4 linked regions of the Neodiprion lecontei genome follow. The protein of the gene in region 1 purifies or fractionates together with the protein of each later gene. This does not show direct contact. Links are inferred from orthologs where the notes say so. Each region holds a gene or a part of one and is shown in the gene's direction. Other genes may lie near its edges.

Region 1 (7,766 bases):
GTAAGGAAACATTGAACGAAAATATCACTATTTCTTATTTTTACGATGATTTTGAAGGAACTAAGATTGCAAAACATGAGTGTCTTTTGTTTTATTACGGTTTACTGAATTTCAAACAGTTCCAAAATCGCGAAATAACGGTTTTTCGTCAGCACGAATAGTTACGATAACGTTACTAACTACAACATATTCATAATAGTATCGCAGAATCCGTGGTAAAATTAGACGTTCATTTACCAGCGAATTTCAGCCGGGTTTTTGCCGATTATCGATTTATATCACATGCGGGTGAAATGATAATGGTAGCCGCATAATAACCGCGAGTTGTTGTTTAAAGATACGGGGAAAGTGCGCAAGATAAACTTGTAAACGAAGAGCAGCCATTTTATTATCACTACTCCGTCGTATCGTCGTCGTCGTCGTCGTGCGTGTTTTGTTTACTTACTGTGGCTTGCCTCGGCGGCCGAGACGAGAAATAATTAATGAAAAATGGAAGTAGAGCTCACCTCGAACTGCCAGTGAGCAGCCTGCAGTAACTGTTTCGCCTGTTCCCTGGCGCACCCGGCGGCCAGAACGAACTGATTAATCATCACCTGTTCCCTTAGAGCGTCCATTTTAACGCGAAACCTTTTTGTTATCACCTTTCGCCTCGTGACTTCTGTAACAACTACGAATGCTTCTTGACCGTAAATTACTGTCCGATTTCCCAAGCTGTTTAGATAATTCGAACTATGACGACACCGCTGTTCTCTTTATGTTATATCCGTATTGTTATTGTTTTTTGTTTTGTTACACGGGTTCTATTAACCGCGGCAGCAATCTGCACCCACCCTACCAACTAAAGGCGGGCTAGCCATAAGCCAAATACACAAACAACTTATTTTCAAAACTACTCATCCCTGACGAAAGCAGAACGATCCGACGTTGACGTCACAATTCTTGCTTACATTAACGTGCCTGCGACAAAGTCGTCTGTTTGGAGCCGTCACGTTGGGCGAACTCCCTCCCCGCGACTTTTAACAATCAGATGAATCCCCACCAAGTCGCGACATTTGTTGTTATTTTGATTATGATGGCGTTGGCCCGAATCTTGCTCTATACAGAGAGAAACCTGAGAGGGCCCACGGAACGAAGAGCCTGGGACAGGCTGGTGAAGCTCGGTTCCGTCGGATCTGTGTGTCCGTTGCGTGAACTAAATTCTCGGCGGGTAAGCGATGGACGCAGATAACGAAGCATGCTCTGTATTATCTGCTCCACCGCTTAGCTCTCTGTTATGCTAACCCATAGATGTAAGCTCGCACGCATGCGTCTTACAGAGTGAAACCGCGGTATTCCTCGGCCACTCTGCCGCTTTTTGCAAAGATTCAGTTGCTTAATATTACAGAAGTGCAATTTCGGATCTTGCTTCGTAAACGGATGCAATACTCTACATGTGATACTTATTCAATTAATTATTATAGTACTACAAACAAATCCAGTATTATAAAAATAAATAAATATTAGTATTATAAATAAATAATAAACGAATCATTAATTACTCTCTTTCTCCCCCCTCCCTTCCACTTACAAATGAAACAAAAATTTCTTCATTTATATTTTTATAGAAAATATAATTTAGCGAGCAGGTAAACAATTATGTACGATCAAACATGTTGAGCGTGGCAAACGTGTCAAACGTGTCAAACCAAATTTAAAGAATGTTTTTCTTTTTATCACTCACGATAATCTTATTTCTTGACCACCTGCTTTTATACAATTATAAATTACGCGTATGCACATCTTTAATTATTGCTGGAATAAATGTAGTTATAATTAAAAGTTGGCCAATTCATTCGTCCATTTGTTGAAATTGTGTGTGTGGAAATCTGTTTAATATATTCGACTTTTTTTCAATTATTTTTCAAGCAATACATTATTTGTTAACCATACAGTTAAAGAACGCATTTATGTAGCTATTATTCGCGCTCGATCTTTGGAATTTTTTCACAAATTCTTGACAACAGACAGACAATGCTGTTTCACTCGCTCTCGTTCATTATCACACCCGCCTTTTCGTCTCTACACGCCCTCCCAATGTTTCATTTGGCATATGCATCTTATTTTCATCTATCGTTGAATCACCATTTTTTTCTCTGCACCTCTATATTCTAGGTATCATGGTATTTAACATAATCCATGGCAACTCACCATCATATTTGAAAGAGTTATCTTCTCTCCAAAATCAAACGAACCATACTTCCCGACAGCAAAAAACTCATTATTTCCACTTACCTCTACCCCGCACGCCTACCTATCGCGATTCATTTTTTCTTTCTGCCATGCATTTTTGGCACTCTCTCCCTGCCGAAGTAGCAACTTCTCCCTCACTTCCAATTCTAAAGGTTCGACTGCACAACTACCTCTTTGCTATAGATAGGGTTACGGTTTAGCTATTTTTAATCAAAATTTTAACGTTTTGGCTATTTTAATTTTAATTTTAATTTTAATTTTAATTTTAATTTTAATTTTAATTTTGATTTTAATTTTAATTTTAACTATCATCACATTGTATCTATCCACAATCCTTTGATCTTTATTCATCTTTATTTTAATTGCGTCCTTATTTTTATTTTTATTTTTATTTTTATTTTCGGCACATTATTTCATACTCTTTATCTCGTGTCCTCTTGTAGATGTATATTACTATTAAATAATTCTATTACCATTATATCAACTTTATTACTATTATTGAATATTTTTTATATTTCTTTTTTATACTTATACCAACTATTGTTATTTTGATATCCTTGAAAAACTTATTTCTGATTTACACTGAATAATTTTATGTACTTTCATAATTCGCCTCATGGTACTACCAAGGCATAATAAAGGTTGAATCAATCAATCAATCTCTCTCTCTCTCTCTCTCTCTCTCTTATGCTTTTTCCTTCATAGATCAAAGAAGCTGATGAATACGGTACAATAATTGTACTTAACGAACAAATGCGTAAGAAAATTCGTACGTAAAATGCCGAACACATCATGATTTTGTTGCCGCAGAACGGAATGGCCTGTTGGCAGAGAAAAAAAAATAAGGAAGAAAATAATGAAAACGGTTTATTCATTTTTCGTTACTCGTAATTGAATATTCCAATACGTTTGATAATAGCGATACGGGTAACGCGTGGTATGCGACGACGGAGAGACGGGCCAAGTCTCGAGCGCGAGAGCTGCGATTGGACTTGTGCATGTATTCGGTGACTCGTTACAGCGCCGTATTCGGTCGTTACACAAGTTTTCTCACAAGCTTTTCAAATTTTTCAGCTTTTGGCTAAGCTTGTATTAAAATAAAAAATTGAAAAAATTGTTTTTATATATTTTGTTATATATGGGTGTTTTTTTAATTTTTAGAAGTTTGAGAAAAAAAATATAACAAAGTTAAAAATTGATAAGTTAATAAACAATGGAATTGTTGATAAAAAAAATTTTTTTTTTTACTTCATGGAGGACTGTCCATTATGATTTTTAGATAAAAAATAATTTCGCAACTAATTATTTAAACAATAGAATTCTAAAAAAAACGAATATAAACAAGTAAAAATTGTTGTTAAGAAAAAAATTTTTTTTTTAAATCGTAATATTTATAATATAATAAAGTTGTGAAATAAAATTTTGAAAAAATATTCAAATGATCAATTTGTTTGTAAAAAATTTATGTTCCTTGTTCCTCAAGGAAGGACTATGAATACTTGCTTACGTACATACTTACGAATATTTTATTGCGAATTGGTTCCACATGTGTAATACTGCTTAATAAGTAGTTCTGTTATTGACGGAAGATATTGTTTTAAATGTGTAACAAACACTTGTTGCAGTAGTTCGATTTGAAGTTGTCATCTCTCAAGATGGCGATTTCCGCTATCCCGCCAATGACGGCACTTGGTAAGTCAGATGACAGGTTAGTTTGTGTCCTAGGTTGTGTGGGTTGTGTGACATCGTTTGCGAAATGGTGTTGATAGTGAAATATCATTAAACAATTGGGTACATGATTGGCATGATAATTTCAAACGTACCTTGGATAAAACTAATCGTCAGATCAGACGACCTTTCGTACGTACCTGATTTGTTCGCTTTTCCATAGTAAGTGGACACAAAGGAAAAACAGAACCTAACCTCCAAGATTGCTTATTGGACACTTACGGTGAATAATAATAACTAATACAGTCGGTGAAAATCACAAAAATTACTGATAACTTAAACTTACTGCAATCCAGCTTATTGGTTGTATTTTTATAACGGTCGAACGTTAACTGAACATACCCACAGAGAAGACAGAGAGAAACCGTAATGTCAGGTAAAGGTAAACAGAGTTCAAAGAAGGCGCTGATAAAGGTGCGCGAGGGAGGTAAATCCGGACATCTGTCTTCTGTAAACTCTGACACAAGTTCGGAGAGCACAGAGGCTGCAGTTTCTCTGCCTGTTCTAAAGACGGTTGACAATGGAAAACATTTGCCAAGGTACTGTAGCATTCTGCAGCGTTCGGCGGAGGAATGTGTCGGGATGGAAGATTTGGATACGCTACAACTCGAGCTGGAAACATTGCTTTCATCCGTTGTAGTTCGATGCCGATTACTGCAAGATGAGATAACAAACTTGTCGTCGGCGGAAGAACGTAGAGACAAAAGGTCAAAGAGTGTAAAAGGCCTGTCGACACTTGACAAAAAAATTCGCGAGGATAAATCCAAGCTCAAGGACTTTAGCTCGAAGGCGCAGTCTCCGCTTCCGGCCAAACTGTTTAAGCAAAAAACTTCTGGGGGATTAGCTTCTCAAGTTGTCCCGAATCCTCACGAATTGAACAGAATCGATGGGAGTAAATCTGATCTCCCTAAATTACTTTTGCCCAAAAACGATACTCCCAATAAGTTCTGGGCTTCGGTCGATCCTTACTGCACCGATATCATGCCGGAGGACTTAAAGCTGCTGGAGGAATTGGTCGCTTCTCATAGCGATCAGAGCGAGTTGAAGAAAATCCCGCCGCTCGGTCGTCATTATAGTCTGCTGTGGGCGCATAATGATTTATTGCAGGAGGAAGATGCGGCTAATCCAAACAGGGATAAAAAGAAAAATCGGTCCGACGTTTCGCTCCTTGTTTCGAAGGTTGATAAGAAGGGAAATAGCATCGCAGGACCTTTGACCCAAAGATTAGTTTCAGCTCTGTTGGAAGAGAATGTATATGTAGCTAATAATAATATGGATAATAAATTGTTTAGGGATGGCGATCCTCCTGTGCTTAGAGACTTGTCTATACAAAATTCAATGAATTTGGAATTGAGGATGCACAAGGAGCTGGTAGAGCAAGGTATACTTGAGGCTGATACTCCGAAAAAGAATCAAGATGATGAAATTCTTGCAGAAATAAAACGATGCCAACAAGAACTGTCCGCTTTGTCCAATCATAATGTGACACAGTTGAAACGACTGCTTCAATTGGCGCAAGAGGAGAGCAAACGACAGGCTGTGAAACGTAAAATAAGCATTGTCGACAACGAAGTCGTTGAACATTACAAAAAATTGATACTAGCTAAACAGAGAAAAGTGTCTATGACTAAAAAAGAACAGGAGAAGGCTTGGAGCTGCCTGAGAGAGCGTGAAAACTTACTTGAACATTTGAATATACTGTCAAGCGGCAGTGACACTGTCATCAACTCAAGAAATAACACGGCTTGATCTCTCAATGGTCGTCATACAAGCCAATGCGTATATGCGACATAACATTGCGTTGTAGAATAGCAGTTCTGATTAGTTAATCTCATTTGAGTCATATTTTTATGTTTATCATGTTTAATATTTTGAATTATTGTACTTTTCGTTACGATTACAATGTTAAAATGAATGATGTGACAATTACTTTACAGCTTACATTGCTCTATTTACTTGTACAGATTACAATATTATAATTCTGGTAGTAATTTATACAGTTACACATCTAAGTTAATTTGTTCTTTTGATTACTTTTTTATGTGGTGCCTGATACAATTGAGTGATTTATGAATGTAGTAACAGGATAAATTGACCGTCAGGGGAAAATAATGAAATGGGAAAGATGTATTAACATATAATCTATATTTTAATATATTATTTTTAAATACATATTCGAGAATTTTCAATCTTACGTATCATCTGGAATAATAGTAACGATAATGCTATTCGTAACAATGATAATGATTATAATTATAGGGAATGTTCAACAAATGAAATATCGTGAAAATGTAAACAAGTCGTAATAATAGAAAAATATATGTATATGTATGTATATAATATATACAATATATATATATATATATATATATATAATATTATATATATTATATATATGTATCAAGATATAAACAAAAAAACAGTTAATCCAACGACAACAAAATTATACAATATCACAAATAAATTAAATGAATAATGAATCCATTCAAGTTGAATCATAATTGTGGTGCAAGTGGTAACAATTTAATAACAAAAGGTATCTTCAAATATCTTTGTTTCGAGCGAGTAATATTATTTGTTTACGCATACTATTATCATTTATTAATCAAGTTATATCATAAGTCACGGTAAAGAGATATAACACGTACAGAATGATTCAGAAAAATGTTACCTGCAACTAATTGGAAAGAGTGATTATTTTTCTCTAACAAAAAAAAAAAATAAAAAATCTCACGAAATTACTATTCAAACCCTTCATCATTTCAGAATTCTTCTCCATGAATAATTTTTTTACTTCTCTCTTTTTGCACGTTCCCAAGTTTCATTTCACCTACATATTATATGGTTCTTATTAATTGTACCAACACTAACATGTTTTTTGAGCCAACTCGTATTTCTTCATCATTTGTTCATTCAATTTTTATTACAGAATGATTATATGTTATGCCTGAATATTTGTTATAATAACGCTCTAGTTGATCTTCTCTTTAATTTACTTATAAAGATTATTTATGGTTTGTCTTTTTGGTTTGGGCCCCATGCAACCGTTACAGTCAGAACATATTAGTTTATTTTTATTTATTTAATTTTTTTACTTTTAGATAACGTACGTTTACTTTTCTACATTCTATAGAAAATACAAGTTTCACTTTGGATATTTTGTTCAAAACTTTTTCAAATTAGTTTCAGAAATATTGGATGCTGCTCTTTATTTTATTACTCATGTTTTGAAATCTAGTTGTAAATTGCTTCGTTTTTTCCTTTTTTCCGGAATGTTTATCTTTTATATGTATATCAGGGGGCCTAAGTCGAATAGAGAAACTTTTCTATTATTTAGCGACCTGACACGTATCGACCTTGCTCTTTCTTCATAGGTACTTTGTTCACTTATTTTTTCTTAGCCCATATCGTTAAGATTCTACATCAATGAATGTATATATTTATGTAAATGACTGTATGTTTAACAGAGTGAGTCAGATTAAACACGATATAATTGGAACGGTACAGTTTCGCCTACCTATACAGTTTAGTTTGAATTGTGATGAAAACTTTCGATTTTTAATTATAAATAATACTAGATTAACAATTGATTTCCAATCACAAGAAAAAAGAAACGAAGGACGAAAGATTCTACGTGTAATAGTGTAGAAAATTAAATATGTGTGGATAAAAATTAATAATCCGTACTTGAGCTGCCGCTTTTTTTTAAATTCGAAAAATTGTCCCTGGTATATTTGAATAACAACCTAGCTAATTGTAATAAATTCCGCCCTGACAAAACTATTTTATTTTATGTTTGATTCTTTTTT
Region 2 (7,550 bases), on another chromosome or scaffold:
TTTATGATGTTATTATCAAAAATATATCTTAGGTATGATTTGTAGAATATCCATTTACAAATGAAATGTACAGAAATTTTTGAAAGTTGGCGTAAAAAAGGAAAATGTTCAACCATACGAGCTCTCTCTGAAGTTGTTAATAACTGAGTTTATAAATAAAAAATATTGGTTTTTGCGTTTTGTTTGTACAAAACAAATATCGATTCAATGAAATTGAACTCGATCATCCACATTTTCACATTTTAAACCTTTTCTTCGCATCTTTTTTGACTCGACCGACTAACAATAGCCAAAAATTACATGCATGTGAGTTTGAATGAATCCCCGAAGGCTCGATGATGGAAGTGAATTTTATTTTTAGAATCACTGAATAACTTTATTTTATTTATTTTGTCTTGACAAGGAATTGTTATGTGACATACATTAGTTGTTTTACAATTAAAAATCAAACATTACTTATCGTACAGTATATTTAAATAAATTAAAGCGATACATATTAGATTCACTTTATTACTCCTATGTTTGATTAATCTTTTCATTTTCATAAAGTTACAAATAATTAATCACTCCGGCAAAACGGTTTCTAATCAAATCCTCTGATTGGCATAACTGTAGGCAAATGTCCAGATTTTCAATCATCTTGCATAGTAAAAATCTTTCACTATGATTTCTTTCTCATGTAATTGGAATATTTAAATGTCTCGCCGATCATGGATGAAAGTTCGCGCTTCATCATTATCGATACATTAAGACTATTTAAACAAAATAGACTACTAACAAAAATTTGAAACAACTGTTTAAGAAATATTCGCATTTAAAATTTCAAGGATAATGGAGAAAATCTTACTGCAAAATGTAAGTTGCATAATTTTTCTGTGCATATTATTTAAATCACGTGCGCGACAGAAATATTTGTATTTTTGCCAGGCATCTACAATAATCAACATATCGTTGTACAAATTTATCTCTGCATACGAGTATTGCACCATTGGCGCTATTTGAATCATAGGTAATAGATGCAAACGTCAATGCAACAGTTTATACACTATTTGGATAGTAGTAAATATAAATGCAGAGTAAAGCGGAAGATATTGAGTAGCTAATAATTCACAAACAATAACCACCTATCGACAGTTACTTTATGTTACTACGGATTCTTATACTTAAACAATAGCGTCAGTCAAAATTTAACAAATCAGCAAAGTCCCCCTTCATACTCATCTTCCGGCTCTTCTTCTTTTGTTGAACTTTCTTTTGGCTCTATGATCGGATTTGCTTTTGGATTGCCTTGACCGACTTGTCCACTAGCAACGTCTGCAGCATTGTCTTCCTGTTGCAAAAAAGAATATATCGTCTTTAACAATTTATGGTGATAAACCTTACTTCAGATGAACACATCGAGAGTTGTACTCAACAGCTGTTCACAAAATGTAACTCGAGCCCAGCGACTATTACCTGATTAACTTCAGCCTCAACCGTCGCTTGGCTAGTAAGTTTGGTAGCATTTGGGGATATGTAAGAAGCTGCGGCATTTGGTCGAACACCAGCCGGTGGAACTGCATATTCTACTTGCGGCAGAGGAAGCCCTCTTGCTAATTTGGCGTATTCTACATCCATGTGTTTGATGAAAGGACTGTTCAATGCTGACCTTGCAGAATCTGCATCCTCGTTGTCGTAGGCCTGTAGTAGCATTTCCAGAGTTTGTACCTGTGGAAAATGCCAATTTTACATTATTATACGTCCTTTACATGCCTTAATTAATAACGATTCCTTTAGTCTACTTGCCTCGGGAACGTCGCAGTAGTTTCCCCATTCTTTGAACGCCTTTTCTGCTGCCACTTGATCCCCTCTGGCGAGTTGAACCAATACTAGTGCTACCGCTAGTCGTCCTACAGACGGAGTGTGATCTATCTGTTGATGCATTCCAATCTCCCTACGAATCGCGTCTGCAGCTTGATCGTACATTTTTAGTTTTACTAGAATTCTAGCTACTTTGCTCATGTATTCAGCCGCTTGTCTCGGACTGTCTTCACTCTGTAACATTTTATAGCCGTATTATTTTTTAATCTCTAACGCTGGAAATACTATCAGGCTTTTTGTCATTATGAAATTATTTCTTATACCATAACAACATCAGCTGCACGCTTGTACAACTCCAGAGCTTGTGCGGGTTCAGTAGCTTCCAATAATTTAGCTGCTTTATCCAGTACCGAAGCACCTGATTCAGGTGAGCCGTGTTGCTGATATAACGAACATGCAGAATGTGCCAATTTCGGTACTTCGGTTAAATTTCCTAATTCCTTGCACACTAGAAGTGCCTGTTCCATACTCCTACACAACATTTTTAGTCACTTTATTTAGTTTATGAAACCACTATTTGTATGCTCAACATTTTTTTTTTTTGAAGGTGCTTATGCAAACTATTTTTAGAAAGCCTTTTATACTTATGAAAACGGATATTTGTTTTATATCAATTTCGTACAATTTGGGAGTAAAATCATAGCCATGGCAAAGAATGCTAAGACTAGATCTGATCTAGGTTTGATCTAGATCTGGATCAAATTAAAACGAATATGGTTCGGTAAATTATTTTAACACTTGAGATAATTGTTTGAAACAAAAACAATGTTGATTTGCATACATTGGTTTTTATCATTCTGTATTTGGAAAATATTTTTCATTTTCGCTTTTTTTCATCCACTTGATAAAATACCGTATGTTCAGTTTCTATAAACCAAGCATCGTTTTCCAAGTTTTAAAGTCTGCTTGAGTCTTTGAGTCAATTGGCCATACTTACTTTGCAGCGTGAAACCATCTATTAAACTAATTAAGGATTTAACTATAAACCAGAGAAAAAATTGTTTCGTCGAAACAGATGAAAACTATGACGCATGATCTGCATGTTTTATACTGATTCAAGAACTTTCGATTTCGACATAAGAAAATTATGTATAGAATTCATCGTTAATAAAAAAGTAAACCATGAAAATTCAAAAAACACCGATCGATGTCTGAAAGGATACGATCTGTTCTGTTTGTGACAGTCTGAAGCCTTCATTAGGCATTCCTTGCACTGTTGAAAAGCTTTTGCATTTCGAAAACAGGTGGCTGTTGAGTGGAAGGAGAAGATTAAATATTGACAGTAATGAGGCGCGCAAATATATTATCGCATGGTATATTTACCCGCATGGGAGTATTCATCAGCAGCGATTTCAAAATCAGGTCTCCACTTTAAAAGTGACGTTTTTAAACTAGGGGAGAAAATTAATAAATTATTATGATCTAAATTAATGGTACGTTTTTACTGGTTAGGGAATTAAAATGATCAAATTCTTTTCTAATTTGGATTGATGTACTAAGAAAAAAATCTCACCTTTTTTCGGCCTGCCGAATGTGGGCCATTCCTTCCTCCATTTTCGACATTTTTCTCAAAATGTTGGCTCACGTTTGTAAAATCACTTTGTTTTTCCGCAAAAATATTACTGTCAAATTTTCTTGTGTCAAATCAATTCAATCCGTGAAATGCAGACGACGTATTCCGTACTACGAAGCAGAAACCTTGGGCGTGTTCGTAAACTCATTTGCAAATGTCCTGACAATGAGTCACGAAAACTAGACGAAAATATGGTACTTTGTAAAATCCTGTAGATGGCGTCTCAGGATCGCATGATGGAAAAAAAAAAATAAAATAAAAAACATCACCCTACCGCGAATGAAGTTTATGGAGCGAATACACGACATGTTTATATTTGATTTTCAAATTCACAGTCGCGTCCCTCGGTGATACAATAATTACTTATAAAATCTGATTGAAATATCGGCGAAAACGAAGTAAAACTCAATTGAAACGTCACCACTTGCTGATATTCTACTTTTTATTTACCTTCCGTTGAAAATCATTCAATCGTAAAAGCTAAAGGTAAGTACATCAATTTTTCTCATCACGTTGTCTAAATTCTCGGTATCGTAGTTTTTATAACCTCAAAATTTCTCTCACTTTTTTCGACGACTTTTCTGCCATTGTAAAACGTGTTTTAATATTTCACGACAATATAATTTTGAAATTCTCTCTTCGCGAATTAACGAATAATGCTTCACCTCAATAGATGGCTGAGAGATTAGAAGACTTGAATCTCCCTAATGCTGTTGTAACAAGAATAATTAAGGAATCTCTGCCGGACGGAGTCAATATTGGCAAGGAAGCACGAGCGGCGGTCGCAAAAGCTGCTTCGATTTTTATATTGTACATTACGTCAACTGCCAATACAATCGCTAAAAAAGGAAAAAGAAAAACTATCAGTGGTACTGACGTTATTCAAGCTATTGAAGAAATTGAGTTTGACCAATTTCTTGAACCGCTCCAAGAGGCATTGGAAAATTTCAAAAAGTCACAAAAGGAAAAAAAGGATGCGACTACAAAGAGAAAACAACAGAAGAAAGATGACGAAGAAGTGGAAGAAATCGTTTGCGAAGACGCTGAGTAGCTTCTACTTTTTTTTGCATTTTTTACATTCACACACTATTTAATACATCGGATTTTTAACTTAAGTATATGTATAGGCTGTGTGTAAACCACAATTTATATTGAATAATATAAGAATATTTTTTTTTTTCACTCAAATCCTGATTATTATTATTATTTTTCCCCTCGAAGTATCTACTTATGTTTTATTACTTTCTCCTTTTCCAAATTGACATTATTATGAATCGTTAATGTGACACCTGTGCTTTTACAAAATCATTACTGCAATACATTTTGTACAAGTGGGTCGTGTGATGGAAGGGTTGCATACTATTCTGACAAAGTTTTGGTGAGTCACCAGGCTTCCGCTTTTTTGAATTGTATCACGAATTCAATAGTTTGTGGCATTGAATTGTATGACGAACAATATGCAAACAGTCTCAGAAAATTTTATTAATTGTATATAAGACAATATTGGTGTGAGAGTAAATAGATTACATAATATTTATGCAGAAATCGTTCGTAAAAGTGTGTATCTCAATGGGTACATAATAATATACATAGTAATATATATATACATATATATGTAGTTTTCTTTTTTTTTTTCATTCAATATCATTAGATCAATAATTGAACAATCTTGCGAGCTTACAGTAATGGTAGGTATAGACTATAGGGTTAAAAAACATTTACTCCGCATGTTCTAAAACTCCGTATGAGAATAAGAAAGATTAGCAATGTTCTTTCTATGTGGATTTTTAAATCAAGTGCAGAATGTGCAGTATAGGAAATGACTACAATTCGAACATTCTATGCTAAATTAATGGAATTTTTCATTTCACTACGAACAGTGTTTAGTATTCTGTTTAACAATAGTAGCAAGTCTAATCAATTAGAGACATGCCTATCGAATCCATATTTCGCTCTGTAATATTGGTTTACTTTGTGTTTTCTCCTTCACTATATTATAAAGTTATATCTTATGCCTAGCTTATATCTCAGTTCCGTTTACTTACTTTACATAGGTAAACACATCGCAATAATATCTTATATGTAAGAATTAATTGTATGTGTATATATGGCACTTTATGTTTACAAAACAGGCAAAGAAAGACTAGCATAAAATTATTGACTACTCAAGCCGTCCTTTCTTGATCAGCGCTGTTTATTAAAATTGAACGAATTCTAATTATTTCTAGTAATCAAAGAATTTTTCATCTGAATTAACTGCGATGTATATATATATAGCATCGCCTTCCAATAGTTAGGCATTCTTAACGAGTAGTACCACTTAAATGTTATTTAGCAAAAATTTACCATTACTCGTAGTTTAGAATAATTTCGGATCATTTTCATATCCTGCATTAGTAATTGTATTCATACTTGGCTTTACTATTCATATTTTAACAGTAGTTTAGAAACTTTTAAGGACATTTAAATTCTTTAATATCGTTCTTTGAGAAATGTAATTTTGATAGAAAAATTTATAAGCAAATAGACATTAAAAATTCTATATCAAATGTATATAAATATTATACATAGATATTTATGATTTGCATTTTCGATAAGTGCTCATCAACTTGAATCATAGATTTTGGTTGAAACTTGTCCAATATTTTGATACTTAACTTGAGAATGAAATATACATCACCATGAAAAATATCAATGGTTTTTATAATAAAAATTGTTTGTCTTGCACATTCAATTCTGTCTCTATTTCAGTACACAAAGAAAGCTGTAGAAATAACAAGATATTATCCAAGCATTTTTATCATTGGCTTTCTGAGATGTTCACACTATTTTTAAATACTGGATAAATATGCAATGATTTTCTTGGAAACATCATGTTCTCTTGAGCTTCGCACATTAAGTCTAGTCTGTATAGTGATGCAAGTATGAAAATTTTATCCAAGGATCTACTTGCATCAACCATAACACAATAGATATTTTAAAATAAAAGATAGAATATTTTTACAAACCAACTTTTATGTCTTCATAATACAAAACAGGGGTATGGCGTTGTTTTCTTTCACACTTTGCAGTTCACCAAATCGTCTGACTAATTAAAACATTCTTCAAATGTTGTGCGAGTTTTGTAGAACATATCGCTGTGATCATGTTGTTAAAACTCTTATTCTACGCTCAACAACACTGCGACACATTGGACACTCCGTTGCTACTTTATTCGCACATTCTGTGCAACAGCACATGTGTCCGCAGGGAAGGAAAATAACTTGACACTGAAATATGCAATGAAACAGGTTGTCGCATTACAAGGAAACATGTTAAATTTTCAATTTTGAAACTGAATATTATGAAACTCACAGCCATGTCGAGGCAGATAACACATTCCGTGGAATTTATGCCCTGTGAATCTTCGTTTTTATCCATCTTAGAACTTGTGCCAACTTCGTCTTCTGGAGCAGACGGTACGACAGATGGTATCTCGTGTAAATGCTCGCTAGCATGCAGCTTTTTCTCTGCTAGATAATTTTCTGTAGCTAATATGATTGCTGTTCGATCATTTGCGCTCTTGATTCCAACCTGTGAAAAAACAATTGCCAAATTATTCAGTTTTTGAAGTTGATTTCGATTCATAGTTTTCCATTTTCTTTGATAATTTTATGTCCTCACCTCTATTAGATCCTCATGAGTAATATGTGGCAAAAGTGACTGTATTGTACTCAAAAATGGGAGACAATGCATCACTCCTGCAATAGCTAAATGTCTGACTAACATTGGCTCCAGTGTCTCCAGTAAGCCTTGAGGCCTGGTTTCCATGAGTGATTGGTATTGCATTAGCCAGAATTGGCTGCCTCTTCTTGAACTCTTTAATAGTAAAAACGTAAATGTTCAGTTATTTTTGCTCGATACCACAATTACCGCACAAATCTATGCTCAAAACTTGAAAAGTTTCAAATGTGGAAGAAGATATTAAATATATTACATCTGTATGTTGCTGTTGCGCAATTTGATTAATGGTTTCTATTAGCTGTTGTCTCCGATTTTCCTGCTGCTGTAACAAGTCCATAAGAATGATACTCAAGGTCACCCTTTTGTCAGCGATATCATTCTGAAAGAGAAAGTT
Region 3 (7,572 bases), on another chromosome or scaffold:
GTTAATTAAACTGCGCTCACCCTTCGACCGTCGTCAGCTTGTAGACGGTATCGAACATATTTTTCCTAGCAAAGCCGAATACCTGACGTCCTTCCGTTTTGCTATCGCCGACGTTGAATTCGTGAAAGTGAAGAGTTCGGGCGTTGGAAAAATCCGGCTGCTCAGGCGACGCCGTAATGTTCATAGTTTTCTATTACACTCTACGATTCGGTCGTTGATTATTCTAACGGATCAATGGAACGAGCCGATGTAGGCGCTAGAGAGGTAAGTCCGTCGTTTAATTTACGTCTGGTTCTCACTCAGAATCCACGATGAAATCCGACGTTACGACAGTTCTGTTGTTTACATATCGATGTCGAGAAGATAACGTTTCGCGTTTACCTTCATGAGGATGAATAAGACGCTGTATTTTATCGATGGATTCGTAAGAGAAATGATGAAGGGTTTTGACGACTGCGTTTTTGGTACACCAAGTTTTTCACTCATGCCAACTGTTGAACAAAATTTTATCTACAGCTTCGATTCTCAATATTCACTAGTAGTGGAATACTAAATACGGATTTCGGAGTCTTGTAACAGCGATTGACTTTGACAGTTTGTCAATCTGCGATCTGTCAAGTGCGAGTAAACAAGTTTTAATATTGCTCGGCTTCAGGCTTGCAAGGAGTTACCCTGGATGTTTACCGTTTGATTCAATCCAATTTGGAGCCTGTATTTTATGACACGAAGAATTCGATGCGTATAACAGTGTAAAGAAGAGAAGAGTCGTCAAGTCGTAAAGGTAGTGAATCCGAAGTGTAACATAGGTCTGAAACCAAAAAACTGCACAGATTCTTTATTCATTTCTTATTGATTTTCACTCACTGAAACCGGGAAAAATACTCAAAAGGTTCCATCACGTCAGGTTTTTTCTCCAACTCGTGTTTGTAGTTTCATTCGGAGTGAATATTCCGTTCAACTCGAAATCTGGTATCCTGTTCTTGATTCCAAAAATCTTATGCAAAAGTGATTTCTTACTTTCATTTAATATGTATCAGAGTGAGACTCAAGAATAAATACAAGCAGGGAAATAGAAAATGGAAAGCGGAAGCTCGTTCGGAGGTGTATCAAAGAGAAGAAGAAATGGTTTCGTAAGCAAAATGTATGAACACGGAATGTTGAGTACATTTGATAAAAAAATTGTTTGTTTAATTTCATGAGAAATATTCTTTAGTTCATTGCAATGAAATGGCGGTTTTTTCGTTATTGTTATGCTTTCTTTACGCGAACATCTTTTATTTTGCAAGCAAAAATATTGTACGCGTTGGAGGGAAATGGAAGTCATTTTTGGTTTCGGCACACTTGAAAACGCAATATTTATTAAAAACATGCCATGCAGCTGGAATAAGATATTTTTTTGGAGATTCGTGTGATTCACGCACCTGAGGTGGATGTGGCGAATCGGTCGGATTTGAAGATTATTTAACCGCATCATTTTTCTGCTCCTTTTGATCACCCTATAAATGAAGTCTTAATTCTCGACATTGTCACTCGTGCTACCGAATTCTTTCCCTGCAGATACGTTATCTGACATTCGAGGCAAGCACAAAGGCAACTACAATTATAAAATATACAACCTCGAATTTCGAGGCACGTACGGCATACTTGTAGGACGTCTAATCGTAAGAATATGTATGTCCACGACACGATGTACGAATGCTGCATCCGCAAAACCTGGATCACGTTATAATCGACTCTTTGTTTTTTTCACATGAGATGAATATCGAGTAAAGATTATAACCGAACTAAAAGAAGTTTTTGCTAGACACATGGCGAATTTTGATGGATAAATGCAGTTTTCAGACACGCAGTTACGACTCTAAATCTTGGTTAAAATATCCTTTGTATCATTTTATTTGACGTGAAATGTTGCTGGATGATGGTGGTTGCGTATTCGCAACTGTTTTATTGCAAAACTGAAATCGCCGGCATGTTTATTTCATTTCGGCAATAAAATTTTCTGGCTGTTGTAAAATTTTTTACGAATAATTATTGCATAACTGTACATCCCACTATTCAGCCGTTCTACGATATTTTACATCAAACTTTTAAATCCAACCGACAATTTTCGCACCACAAGATTAGAAACTACTATGCCGCTTTCGAAAATTCCTCTGAAATAATTCTGCACTAGAATGTTTGCATTGTACAATCGTACAATGTGAGTATATTAGACAGCAATTTATTGAGTTCGTGCGAGCTTGATTCGAGTTTCACGAACAAATTGGAATATGGTAATTGGCTTAGCATGCTGGAATTAATTATTCAGTTGCCGAATCATTTTATCGAATATTCTGTCGACACACAGCGTGACCTCAGGCCATTCTACATTTTATGTAGTATTTATAGGCCGTACAACCGTTGCATAGACTTTACGCGTTTCATGGATAAATATATATTATAAGGAATACATTGCGTCCCATGGAATTTAAGAAAGAAAATCTTTCGCTGAACTGGAACCAAAATTTGCCAAAATATTACCGATGCGAGCTATGAGGTATACTATACACCGTAAATTCTTGTGGTAAGCATAATTTTATATCCGTTCATCTCAGATATTCATTATGCTAAAAAATACTCGTTTGCATGTATAATATGTCCGACTATTATACATGAACATCGACCTACGCAGAATAATAATTTCGATGCATTTTGGTCAAGGCTTCGCCTGCCTTTGTTCCAGTTTCATTATCAAGGCGCGAAACCAAATCGCTGTATAAGATTCTTTATTCGTGGAAAAATTGTTGATTTCGGAAAAGTTATGAAATTTCATTAATAATTTTTTTCTTCCTTCATAGATATACTGGTAATTTCATAGACACCATTGTTGTCAGACACTTGCCAAGAAGTTTTGTTGAGGGTATGTGAATAATTGGAGTCCCATAATGTGAATATTCCGAATACTTAAATCTTTCAAACAATTCGAATCTTCGCACCATTCGAATGTAATTCAAATTATGCGATATTCAAATATTCGATTCAATTCGACTGTTGAATTCCATCGGTACGGTAGAATCTGCCTGACGAATTCGTTGCTAACTTCGTCGATAATCTGATGGACGAAGTAACGTTTTGACAGGCAAAAAACACGCTTTTCGTTAAGTGCTGCTATCTGTGAGAAGATCAGTCAACTCCTTCCAACGCTTATCGACGGTCACGCAATTGTGCATTGTGTGTAAACAGCGTTACCCGTGCAAAGTAGTTCGTTGTTATTTCTCAAAAAAACATAAGAAATGGCTAATACAAATGTAACGGATATGACTGAAGAGGATGCGGCAGACCTCCAGTTTCCAAAAGGTGAGAAAATTGTAAAATTTTCTTTGAAATTAGCGGCTACTTTTATAATTTCGCGAACAATTTCACGTCGCAGACATAACCTAAAACGATGGGGCTTGAAAGCATTGAATGGTATATGGAAAAAAAATACCGTTTTAAGCAACTAATTCAGTCATCCTTGAACAAAGGTCTCGAGTAACGGTTTTCTTACTTTCAGACTGTCCGTCGAGTTTTGCAAATGAGTCGGAACACGACGTCGATCTCGAGGTATCAGTCGTGAAGGAAGAAATCCTTACTTCTGACCCCGCGTGTTGTGTGTGTAAATCGACACTGTACGAGCCATACATAAAGTGCGCCGAGTGTTTGAACATAGAGATATGTCCCAACTGTTTTTCAAACGGTGCCGAAATTGAGGAACATAAAAATAACCACAATTACATTATAATAAAAAACGAATTCCCACTTATACCCGGTTCCAATTGGTCCGCCAAAGAGGAACTCGAACTTTTGGATGTCTTGCAAGAGTGTGGATTCGGCAATTGGGACGATATATCGAGGAGATTGCAGAACAAGTCGCCGGATGAGTGCAGGAAGCATTACCTGCACAATTTCATAGACAATCAAAATTTGCCTGGATTACCGAAGATAAAAGAAACCGAGGTCAGCTTGTTTGGCTCCGAGGCTGTACCGTACCTTTACAAACTTCAAGATCTTGAAGACCCGCCAAGATTTGCCAGCAATACGATAAACTACAAATTATTGGCCGGATACAATGCAGCTAGATCAGATTTCGAAGTAAATTTTGACAATTATGCTGAATTGTTAGTCTCAGATTTAAAATATGAAGAATTCTGTCCTGCCGACAAGCATTTGGAGCTTGGAAAAAACCTCCAAGTTGCAATAGTAAATGCCTACAATCACAGACTCAAAGAAAGGCAAAGGCGTAGAAAAATTGTACGTAATCATGGGCTTATTTCGTTTCGTAGAACCATATCATGGCTTCAAAGGTACGAATCGACTCTTACCAGACCTTTGATCGAAAGATTACTAACATTCATGCAACTTGTCAGTGGGATGGATTTTGATTACATAATCGAGGGTCTTCACCACGCTGGTGAACTAAGAAATTACATTAGAAGATTATTTGAATTTCGCCGAAATGGTATCACAAGGTTTCACTCAGTACCGATGTTTCAAAAGTTGGCCAAGCTGCGCATGGAACATGAAAAAGAGAGAAAGCAGTATATGAGTAATACAGAATATTGCTGGCAGACTGTATTACCTGGCTGCATTGTAAAGACTACACCTCATGTTGCACCAAATGTTCCCCAACGTAAAGCACCGCCGCCTCTTATTATTCAAGGGCTTCCTGGATACGACCGCCTTACTCCGGCTGAACGGGATCTTTGCTCAAATGCTCGTGTTATACCTGAAAGCTACTTTGACTTCAAAAACCTGTTGATAACAGAGAATAAAAAATGTGGGAGCTTGAGGCTTGCTCAAGCCAGAGTTCTTCTGAAGATTGATGTTAACAAGACGCGAAAAATATATGATTTCTTGGCAGAAGAAGGATACATCAATAAACCTGCTCAGTAAGACACGTCACTGGTCAATTGATTCGTCGCAGTTATATGTGAATATTTTTCGACATTTCAATGTCATTGTGATATTAACACTTTGTGACAGCCCATTTGACAAGTGAATTAATTTTTATGATTATGTGTTGGTTAAAATAGGCTAAGACTTCATTATTTATTACAATGTACAAACTCAAGTCTAAGTCCTTTGTTAGCTTGTTCTTTTATATACGAATAGAAATGTTACTATTTTTGTGAATTTATGCCAATTTTACTCTCAATGAACCCTCCAGTATTCCTATTCTGTTATTTTTAACATGACCGACAAAAAGGATTGAAATTTCACAAATTTCAATCATTTACCATCTATAGAGTTGGCATTAAAAATAAAAAGTCCATTCTACTAATTCAGACGAACAACCCATGCCAAACTAAAATTCAAAAACAAACCAATAACTGATGAATTTGTTTATCCACGTCTTCTTACATTCTGAAAGGTTTGAAGACGAATGGAACGTTCATACAATAACATTTATTCGTCCTTATTCCTCGCGTCATTATTTAATTCTATTTCAACCTACTGTGAAAAACTTTTTACGTGCTGGCAGAAGAAAAATACACGCAAGAAACGAATTTTGAAGAAATACTTGATCGCGTTTTTCACAGAATGAGCTTGCAATTAGAGAAACCTCTCTGCATTTGTTTCCAGGAGGAACTCGAAATAATTTTTTTTTTCGTACATCTATTACAATACTATAACTCGTTATTTGACAGAGTTTGAAAATGCTGAGACGCTGTTGATATCTGAGGTTTACATGCTGCTGGAACACAGGAAGGCACAGAACGAATCCGCAGAAGAGGAACAAGAGTTCTCCGAGGTTTTCATGAAGAGTTTGACGTACACTAATCGATTTCGCAAGTTCAGGAATAAGGAGACTATCGCTGCGGTTCGAAAGTATGTGCAGCAGATTGAGCTCATTGCAGTAGTAGAAGAGATTCATTTCGTTTCACATTCTGTGCAATTTGGTTTACTAATACGCGTTTAATTGTTTTTACAGTTTACTGATGCAGAAGAAGCTCCATAAATTTGAACTGGCTTCATTGGCGAATCTTTGCCCTGAAACACCTGAGGAGGCCAAAGCATTGATACCAAGTCTCGAAGGACGTTTGGAAGATGACGAAATGAGAACTATTCTGGAAGACATTCAGACCAAAAGATCACTACAGTACTAACTATGCAGTTTGCTTACAAATCCGACGGACATTTTACGTCGCACCCAATTAATTATATTCCACTTACCAGGCCATCTCAAATCGCGGCATACGTTCTCTGAGATCATCGATTGATTGTATATTGATTGTTGAACAAATGCTAGATGCAACTTTCATTCCTATAATGTACTCTGTTTATAAATATTGAAAACACGCATAACTTCCATCTCGTTTTTAACCCAGCCCAAAGTCGTTCCTTGGCACGATAACATGGATGTCAAAATAATTGACAGTATCCCTACTCTGAGGGTACTTTGAGAACGTATCATTGCGGTGGTTATTGAACACAACATCGCGAAACTACTAACTCCGAATAGTAGACGTAGTTCTGCTTCGGACGAAAGTAACGTCCTATAATTCTGCATACCCGAAACATCTTTTTTTCGTTATCTTTTACGGAGTAAACAGCTCTTGGGCTCTGGAAGGAAAGATGTAAGTTGGCGTGATGTAACGGCAGATAATATCATTACGGACTTCTCCGTTGTTGGAAAAATCATGCGTTACATCTCGTGTAAAGTTATTAAGCCTCTTCAGCTCTTATTCTGCATAACTGTAAATTCTTGTACATGCGACAGAGACGACCATCTCTATCGTATCATGGACATGGATGAAGGTTGTGCTGTCATTAGTTTCTGCGAAATGTCGTGTATGGATTTTTATTCTCTGTGAAGGGAACCACAACGCTATGGCGTCCGATACCCTCAATAATTACCCTTAACGGCCCAACGACGTCTACCCAGCCTGTTGTACACTGACCCTCTCGACTACGCGTTGCCGTTTAAAAGTGGGGTCAGAATCCAACACGCACGTATGGTGTACGGTGTACTTCACCTCCGGCCTGATTATCTACCGGCCCAGCACCGGTTTTCACCTGGCAGCCGGCAAGGCAGTCTGCATTCCGAGCATGGTTTTGCAAAATAATTTGCGATTAAGATCAATGATGATAGCTTGGTCGCTTGGTTACCGTTCGAAGGCGACGAAGATTCTTCACGACGTGCTCTAATGGGTGCCTCTTCGCGTCACTTATCAAGTTCGCCTCTCAATACAAATTCACAATGCGAATACCTGCACTTGTGAATGAACTATCAATTTCCTAGAAATAACGTTTTAATTGTTCAAGTTTTGTCACCTTTTGATCATATGATTATCGTGTGGGGCAGGAGTCGCAGTCCATCAGTTTTTTTTTTGCGGGTTGTAATGCGAATGACATCATTATTTCTTACCCGTATTTGGGGTTTTAGAGTTCTGTGGTTAGTTTTACAAGGGAGATTTCGTTGCAACCAATCAAGTTATCATCAGTCACACTTGGTTAAATAGTACCCTGCTCGATGTCTATTATTTTCTTTCTTTCTTCCCGAAACCGGGTATTTGGATACTAAACCTCCAACAGCAAATTTAACCACATGGG
Region 4 (7,815 bases), on another chromosome or scaffold:
GACAATCACAAACTCACTGAGAAACTCCACACTTGAACGCCGCCACAACCTGTACACGTCTCACTGGCAACTGATCCCAGCTCCCTCGGAACTCCCTCGCTAAACCAGCTGGTCGCCTCCACGACCGCGACTCCCTCCCTCTACCCCTCGCCTCGCCGCTTGTGTGCTTCTAGTTCGCTCCTACTATCTTTGACGGACGTCTCCTCCGGTACCTTCCCTCGCCCTCCGACGCAATTCTAACACAACTGCCTCTGTCCTGTTCCCTCGCTCTTTGTCGCATATAATATGCCGATGGATGATAGCCTTCATTGGCGCATCTGTGATGCTTGCCATCGTCCTCTCCGTCAAACGGTCAAAATCCGCTATTAATAGAAAGGCACCGAGTTGCCACAAAAATGTTCAGCAATTACCACCAATCGCTTGCCGTATTCTGGCATTAGCGCATAATGGCAGCCGGGCGGCGGAGGGGGGCATCCGGATTCTCGTATCGATACATTACCATGAACGAAACTAACAAGCAGGAGAAGCTACCTAGCCCGTAACGGGGGAAAGGGATTTATTTTTGGGCCGTTGCATTTCGCAACCCGTATCGCCGCGATGTCGCTTTTAACCGAATGGCGCCTCTCCTGCCGAACAAGCCGCTAAACTCGCGTTATCTAAACATTTCTTCCGCGGACTTGCGATAAGTGTCGCTTATCGCAGCGCACGTAGGCGAACGGTTCATACTGAAATTTGAGCTCACATTTACCCTGGGTTGCTTTGTACTGGCTGTTGCCTACGTGACATCGCCGGGTGCCGAGCTTTTGGCATAGTGTCGGAAGCACGGTAATGTACGGGAAGAAAGCTTTGGGTAACCAAACCGTATTTAGGTCAAGCAAAAATCCATATTTCGTTGAATTTTATCAACGCATGTATGCGCTGTGTACATGCTACTTGTCAGCGATTATACGAGCGGGAAAGCTTGTATCCGCGAGCATGTGTCCTCTCTATGTGGCGGGTGGCCCGTCGTGTGTTCATCTCATCGCGACGAAAACAAAAATGTAGTAGGTGACGATATCATGTGCAATCATTCTTGAGTGCGAGACGTGTGCGTTTCACATAGAGCCGGCCTAAGTTCACGGGGTATACGCGCTTTGATTTTTCACGTCTTCATTTCGAAGCGCACTTGGATTTGATTAAATCCATGAATTGGAAGAAGACAAGTCTCGTAAGATTCGTACGCCGAAAAACGGTTACTTTCACAGAATATTTCCTGCGTCTATCGCGCTTATGCTCAATTTTCCCACAAAATATGACCCTGCCTGAGGTATGTATGCACGTACATGCCGGCATATCGTGCGATTTCAAACGCATATGACGATTATCGTGGTGCGGTGCTCATTCTGCAGACAGGATCGACAGGGATAAGGTTTAGTTGGGCATGTGTAACATATGTTTCATCCATATCCAATCGTGCAGTGAGGCGGTATAGGTAACATTCTCTTTCACAACTTGCAAGAAGCAAGTACCTTGTTACACCGTGTATACCTATTACAGCAACGTTGTCCTTGCCCCACAGCAACTTGCACATTCTTTCCTAGCTCCGGATTACCAGTATTCTCGATCCACCCATATCTATACTTAACTATGAGCACATTGTATTGCACGCGTACGCCTGCATACATTTGAATACTTACCCAAGGCCATCGCATGCTAACGCTATACACAGAGATACTAGCCTAGCTAGTCCATAGCTAGTCACCGTAGACGTTGTGTATTAGCTTTGAAACAGTGACGGTACGTATGAAATTGCCGTGCTACCATATGCCCTTGATCGATCATTTTGTACAGTGTAGCTACTATAGCTGTAATGTTAATTGACAAGAATCGAGTCGAAATGGAATAAATAGAACGTAATTCCGTATGAAATATTTTTCAGATTGTATGTCGTACAAGTATTTATTTTTATTGTATAGAATAGAACTAGAAAGAATATGATTGCACCAACATCTTGCACAAGGCTACTGCGTCTTTAAACTATACCACTACTTACGAGTTACTACCATAGTGCCACTCTCAGCTTTGTCCGTGATAGTTGTTCAATCATAGGTTTTTTTCTGGACACATACGCAGTGCGCCTTTTGCTTTCTGTATTTTACAATTTGAAGTCAACACCTATACTTTCATACCGTACATAATTATTTCCCAAGTATCATGACAGAACTGGTATAGTTCAAATAAGCAATTGAATATTCCATTTAGATTTCAGCGTAGCTTTGTATACAAGTATCACGAGCGCTTCAGCTTTGAAATAATTCCCATATTTCTACCAGACAACTTGCACGCTCATTTTCCTCCAAATGGAGGTTCTTCGATAAGATAATACATAGGCGATATTAATTTGACTGCGATGTCACCAGATGTGAGGATGCCGATGAATGCATGATAAAATATGCGTAGATAGGTATACCTATGCATATATATTTTATATAGATATATATAAATGTATATATATATATATATATATATATATATATACATATATATGGTTCCGTTACTTTTAACAGTACAGTTCCTGCTTTCGCATTCTAACTGGATTTCAGGCAGGTAGATAGGTATCTATTTTTCGTGCAATAATAAGGGCCCACGCCTGGCCGTTTTGTGCGACCATACTTCCCGTGACCTCATTCCGCCTTTGACCTGATTATCAAAAGTGCATTCGGTTTGGTCTAGTGAGGCGCCAGCTAACAGGTGTTACGTCATCACCACGGGCGTCAGCCTAGCAACAATTTTAAGGTCCAAGAATTGTCGAGCAGCTTGTCAATAAAAACAGAAATTTTTGCAACAGCAATAAATTGGTATGTATGGAGGAGATAACAGTAGAATTATACGTCAATTTGACGACTGATGAAGAAAGGCTGATTAATCACAGTTCTCCTTTTCGGCACGTTTCCGGTATCAGCGTTTTTCGACCGTACCGTACGCAAACATAACCTCGTTATGCTTCGTTACCAACTTTCCACCGATCTATTGTTCCGGGAAAATATTTCTTACGTAACGAGATAGTATTGGCTAATACCAATCGAGTAAACAGTGAACAATAACAATGCATGTGTTGAAAACATGTGTGGTGCGATAAAGGTCTATGCAAGTGCCAAGCAGAGCCAGTCGCTGTCGCCACTCTGTCGCCCATAGTTTATGATGGATGGAGAATCACGAGATTCGCTGGTAAAAATTCTCTTTTTCGCCAAGGCTCGCGAGTTGTCCGGCCTGAAAGAGTCTCGGGCTAAGCTGCCGGCTAACATCTCTTACCAATCTTTGTTGGATACAATTATTGAGAAATTTGGTCTCGAAAGTATTCGCGATTCTGTTATCTTATCTCTCAACGAAGAATACCTTGCAGCCAACGGAACGCTTAACCTATCCGACCAGGACGAAATTGCTGTTATTCCCCCGCTCAGTGGAGGTTAGTTTATCAAACATATTAACATTTATTTCAATTTATTTACATTTAATCATAATAATGATCAAACTACTTTGACTGCTCAGCGAAAAAATGAGAACTACGTAATTACAAAAGGTATACGTTTCTTCCTGACTGTTTTCGCACAAATCTTCTATCATGGGCATCTTTCGGAACCTTATTTCATTCAAGTAGTGAAATATGTTTTTCCGCCACATTCATAATAATACTATGCCGCAACGAGCGGCTGTACCATTCTCTATAGGGTCGAAGTTATGTTTCAGGATTGGGCAGTTGCCAGTATCAGTATCTTATCCTCGTATTGTACAATGCTGATGAAAATCGACATGAATACCATAATCATTTCCAGCTTTATCGCCGAAGGCAAGGAATATGAGGGTACCTAGAAGAACGTTTGTATTATTACATCCAACATTCAACAGCTTATTACAAAGTCTACTGGAATTTATGTGCCTTTAATTTTTAATTACCATGACAGCTCTAAACACAAGAGTATTGAAAAACCCAAGTTTGAAGAAAATAAACTGTAATTGGCTTAGCCATACGCCGTTTAATGTTGGATCACCACAAACTGCCAGAAACAGGCTCAACAATATGGATGTTCTTCCAGGAAACACAATATTCATTGATAAAATGTTGCACATAATTAACACAATTTTCGGAGAAAAGATTATTTAAACTCATTTCCCAGTATGTGTTACTTATCCAAAAATCTGAATTCGGCTCTTTTGTTCATAGCTTATAAAGTCTAGCTAAAGTCTAGACCATTCTTATGGAGGAGCAAAGCGTAGTAATAATGCCGAAGTTAGTAACCTTTATGTAACCAAACATTGCGGGGAGAAATTGTTATTTTGCAAGGTTATAGTGAGTTTGAAGTAGTTAGGTTTTCAAAATATGAAAAAGAATACAGTTTGCCTCATTATGATTTACTAAATTTCAGAGATTCCTGCAGCTGAGAAATAGCAATTTTTTAAAACGTTAATCATTGTAATAATATTATTAACTTCAGCCTCAAGCCTAGTAAAAGGAAACTTATTGGAACTGAATCTTGTCATTGGTTCTTGAGATATTGTTCGCGCTATTTTCAAATAATAGTTCTTGATTACAAAAAAGGAGTTTTTTTTCAGGGTTTTTCAGTATTTATGATATTTCAAATTTCTTAATAATGATCCAGCCTTTTAGCAAAGTATTCTTGGAAAATTTATGAGCTCAAAGTTTGCAAAGCTAAGATGAAGGAAAATTTTTTTTAAATCATGATTTTGGAACTTTAGTATGACTGAAAGAGTTACGTTTGCAAAATTTCATATTTATGCTCTGCTTTTATTTGAGTCAACTACTGTATTATGGACAACTATAAAGTTGCTAAATAATGATCAGACGGAAAAAATTCATCATTACGTTAATGTTACAAAGTTCAGCTTTACGATTATTTTAATTACTTACGATATTAACGTAAACGATTTAAATATCACCTTCAGTTTACTCTTGAATCTACAATGAGTTGCATTCACGAAGATTTGACATGCAGGGTCTGCTTTGATTCTTTAATCATTATCAAGAATTTCGATTTGTTTTCAAATTATTCAGTAAGAATTTCGGCCTTGACTTTAGAATTGTACTTATAATCGTGATTGTTCTCTGTTTTTAATACTTTTGGTTTCTTTGTTATGCTGTAAATTCCAATAGTCATTTTTGGGAATATATTCACAATCACAGTCTTTGTTGCAGGTTAAGATGAATGACTCAAAAGATGTCATTAAGCTGCAGACGGAACAGTTGAATATAGGAGGCATAATTAATCTGGTAGTTGCAGCAAATTGTGGAGCAATATCCACTTTCATTGGTACAACTCGGGACAATTTTGAAGGAAAGAAGGTACACAATTACTTGTACTCTAAGAAATTTAGAAGTTGTCACTGCATATGTAAAAAGGAATATCAATCATTCCATTTATTTGGTCATAATTTTTCTGACAATCGAACTGTGAAATCTAATTAATTTTGTTATAATGTTGATAAAGCAGACAAGTATCTATATTATTATTAGTATCCCTATTAATATAATTTCGGGAAAATACGCTACAAGTGATTTTATACTATCTCGTATTAATTGTGTCTGGATTTACATATCGGTTTTGCAGACTTTAGTTAATATTTCACGACCAGCGATGCCACTACGTTTTTTTACCGATATTTGGCCTTTGGCGGGGGGGCATGCGTATGTCTAACAATGAGACAATTTTATACAATGAAATAAAGGTTTGATCCTAATAGTATACATAGGAGTAGATCAGAATTCTTCAATCTTAAAGTTGAGGAGTCTGGAAATAGAAGGACTTCGAAATGACATGTGTCAATGACATTATGTAAATGTGGAACCTGGAACATTAGGAAATCAGAAACAAAATTATTTCTCTTATACAAAAATTACTATTCAGTATTCAAATCTCTTTATTCATTTGAACGAAGTTAGATACAAGTTAACAGGTATATATCAGATATTGTATCAATTTATGCAGCATGAAAGCCAAGTGTATGAAAAAGTAATCAAGTTGCGTTTTTCAAACAAATACAGTACAAATTCATATAAATCGAGTCGTTTAATTCAAGACAGATCTGAAGAATTTTAACTTTGGTTACTCTAATTTATTTTTTAACTAAAATTTTTTTTTAAAATGCGCGTAAAATGTGTTTGAAAAAAATTTCTATGTTCCAAAATCCAGGGCAGGGATTTCCATGCCATAAAAATGTCGAGGTCTGGTTTATACCATCCATGCTGGCAATGACGCCACTGTTCATGATGCTACAATTTCTTGGAAAGGAGTACTGACTCCTTCAGCTGATCAGAGTGGGGCGCACAGCGCCGCGGTTTTAGAGAATTGAAATGGTGTGTGAAGCGACCCTAATTCATATAAAATTTCGCAGAAAGTATTACCATAAAACATCAGAGAATTTGATAGAAAATCTGGAAATGAGGCTGTATTGATGGCATTTTTTGAATAACGTGTTCACTATTACAACTAATTTTTTCTACCCAGTGCTTAGTTATCCCGCTATTATAGTTGTGGGAAAATTTAAAAAACATATGTGACTTTTGGAAGAATACAGTTTTTTACCACCTACCTCAAACTTCTGTAATCGAGTGGAAAAGGAAATCATTATTCCAGTAAATTTTGAAACATCAGTTTATTAGAAAATTGAAGATTTCAAACAACTTTTTTACTCATGAAAATCGGTTGCCAGATTTTAGCAATAATACTGCCACATTAGTTCACTTATGAAATATTCTCTCGTAGTCTGCAAGTTACCCACAATTCATGGTTGTTGCAAGTTTGAAAAACTAGAAATTCATCAATGAGTTGCGCAGTTTTATTAGAATTTTCGTAATGTCTTTTATCAGAATAGTAAGACTGTTGCAAGATGCATTTTTTTCTGTGGCAGGTCGTTAAGTTGGAGTACGAGGCATACCAGTCAATGGCGTTGAAAGAATTGGAGAATGTATGCTCAAAGATTCGTTCTCAATGGGATGTTGAACGCATAGCAATTTACCACCGCCTAGGGGTCGTATCTGTGACTGAGGCCAGCGTTGTCATAGCTATTTCTTCGTCTCACAGACAAGAGAGTCTTCAAGCTACGCAGTTTGCTATTGACATGCTGAAAAGTACTGTACCTATTTGGAAGAAGGAAATCTATGATAACCACAAGTCACAATGGAAAGAAAACAAAGAATGCTCTTGGTCCACCAGTAAATAATTTTTTACATACTGTACTATTATCGTGACAAGATACCACTACATTTATGCCAAAGTCGATGAATGCTGAGAATGTAATAGTTTTTAAGTGTCAAGTAGCGAGGTTGAAGTTAGTAACGTTATCGTAACGAAATGTTGAGAAGTAATCACTTTTTTTATTTTTACACTGATTATGAAGGAACTAGGATTGCAAAATATGAATATATTCCTATTTATTACGTTTTACTGAGGAACTAATTGCTAGGATAATTTTACTCACTTCAACATGATGTCAAGTATATAAATTAGAGTGGTCATAATTCTTTGCATATATCGAGAAAATTTCATGAAATGGATCCTTTCAAGCTACTCGATGTGGCTCCCATGACCATTGTCAGTTCGTCTTCGCTTGAATATGACAATTCGCTTTATGCAAATATTATTTGCATAAAGTTGAAACTTTGTGAGGACTTTTTGCGTTTTATTTTTCAATATTGATTCATTGTGATCTGTATATTTCAACATTAATAAAATTCGTTTTTATCATTATATGTATGAAAAGAGGCTGCATAATTTTTTTTTTTCGTTCGTACAGGTCTGTTTACCATTCATAAAACTGCGT

What was found.
Region 2: the proteins of transcriptional adapter 3-B (region 1) and DNA polymerase epsilon subunit 3 purify together in Drosophila melanogaster (affinity purification with mass spectrometry; 3 studies listed by BioGRID). This does not show direct contact. The link is inferred for Neodiprion lecontei from reciprocal best matches to the Drosophila melanogaster genes Ada3 and Chrac-14.
Region 3: the proteins of transcriptional adapter 3-B (region 1) and transcriptional adapter 2-alpha purify together in Drosophila melanogaster (affinity purification with mass spectrometry; 5 studies listed by BioGRID, with this or other methods). This does not show direct contact. The link is inferred for Neodiprion lecontei from reciprocal best matches to the Drosophila melanogaster genes Ada3 and Ada2a.
Region 4: the proteins of transcriptional adapter 3-B (region 1) and molybdopterin synthase catalytic subunit purify together in Drosophila melanogaster (affinity purification with mass spectrometry; 3 studies listed by BioGRID). This does not show direct contact. The link is inferred for Neodiprion lecontei from reciprocal best matches to the Drosophila melanogaster genes Ada3 and Mocs2B.

What each region holds. Positions count from the first base shown.
Region 1 is NC_060266.1:16,333,316-16,341,081, forward strand, and holds transcriptional adapter 3-B, read left to right. Parts: upstream 1-3,924; 5' UTR 3,925-4,326; coding exon 4,327-5,706; 3' UTR 5,707-6,277; downstream 6,278-7,766.
Region 2 is NC_060261.1:6,079,269-6,086,818, reverse strand, and holds DNA polymerase epsilon subunit 3, read left to right. Parts: upstream 1-3,696; 5' UTR 3,697-3,919; intron 3,920-4,106; coding exon 4,107-4,484; 3' UTR 4,485-5,758; downstream 5,759-7,550. Other genes in the region: gamma-soluble NSF attachment protein, read right to left, coding at 1,196-1,330, 1,456-1,707, 1,786-2,034, 2,124-2,331, 2,798-2,815, 3,024-3,108, 3,184-3,251, 3,374-3,423; E3 ubiquitin-protein ligase LRSAM1, read right to left, coding at 6,577-6,702, 6,788-7,006, 7,097-7,291, 7,410-7,535. UniProt on the Drosophila melanogaster protein: Accessory component of the DNA polymerase epsilon complex. Participates in DNA repair and in chromosomal DNA replication. Histone-like protein which promotes nucleosome sliding of ATP-dependent nucleosome remodeling complexes.
Region 3 is NC_060263.1:41,257,197-41,264,768, forward strand, and holds transcriptional adapter 2-alpha, read left to right. Parts: upstream 1-3,179; 5' UTR 3,180-3,272; coding exon 3,273-3,336; intron 3,337-3,532; coding exon 3,533-4,911; 3' UTR 4,912-5,645; downstream 5,646-7,572. UniProt on the Drosophila melanogaster protein: Component of the histone acetyltransferase (HAT) complex ATAC; predominantly involved in acetylation of histone H4, including at Lys-6 (H4K5ac) and Lys-13 (H4K12ac).
Region 4 is NC_060263.1:10,687,212-10,695,026, forward strand, and holds the start of molybdopterin synthase catalytic subunit, read left to right. Parts: upstream 1-3,450; intron 3,451-5,191; 5' UTR 5,192-5,197; coding exon 5,198-5,338; intron 5,339-6,185; exon of another isoform or gene 6,186-6,346; coding exon of another isoform or gene 6,347-6,349; intron 6,350-6,903; coding exon 6,904-7,207; intron 7,208-7,815. Other genes in the region: molybdopterin synthase sulfur carrier subunit, read left to right, coding at 3,178-3,450. UniProt on the Drosophila melanogaster protein: Catalytic subunit of the molybdopterin synthase complex, a complex that catalyzes the conversion of precursor Z into molybdopterin.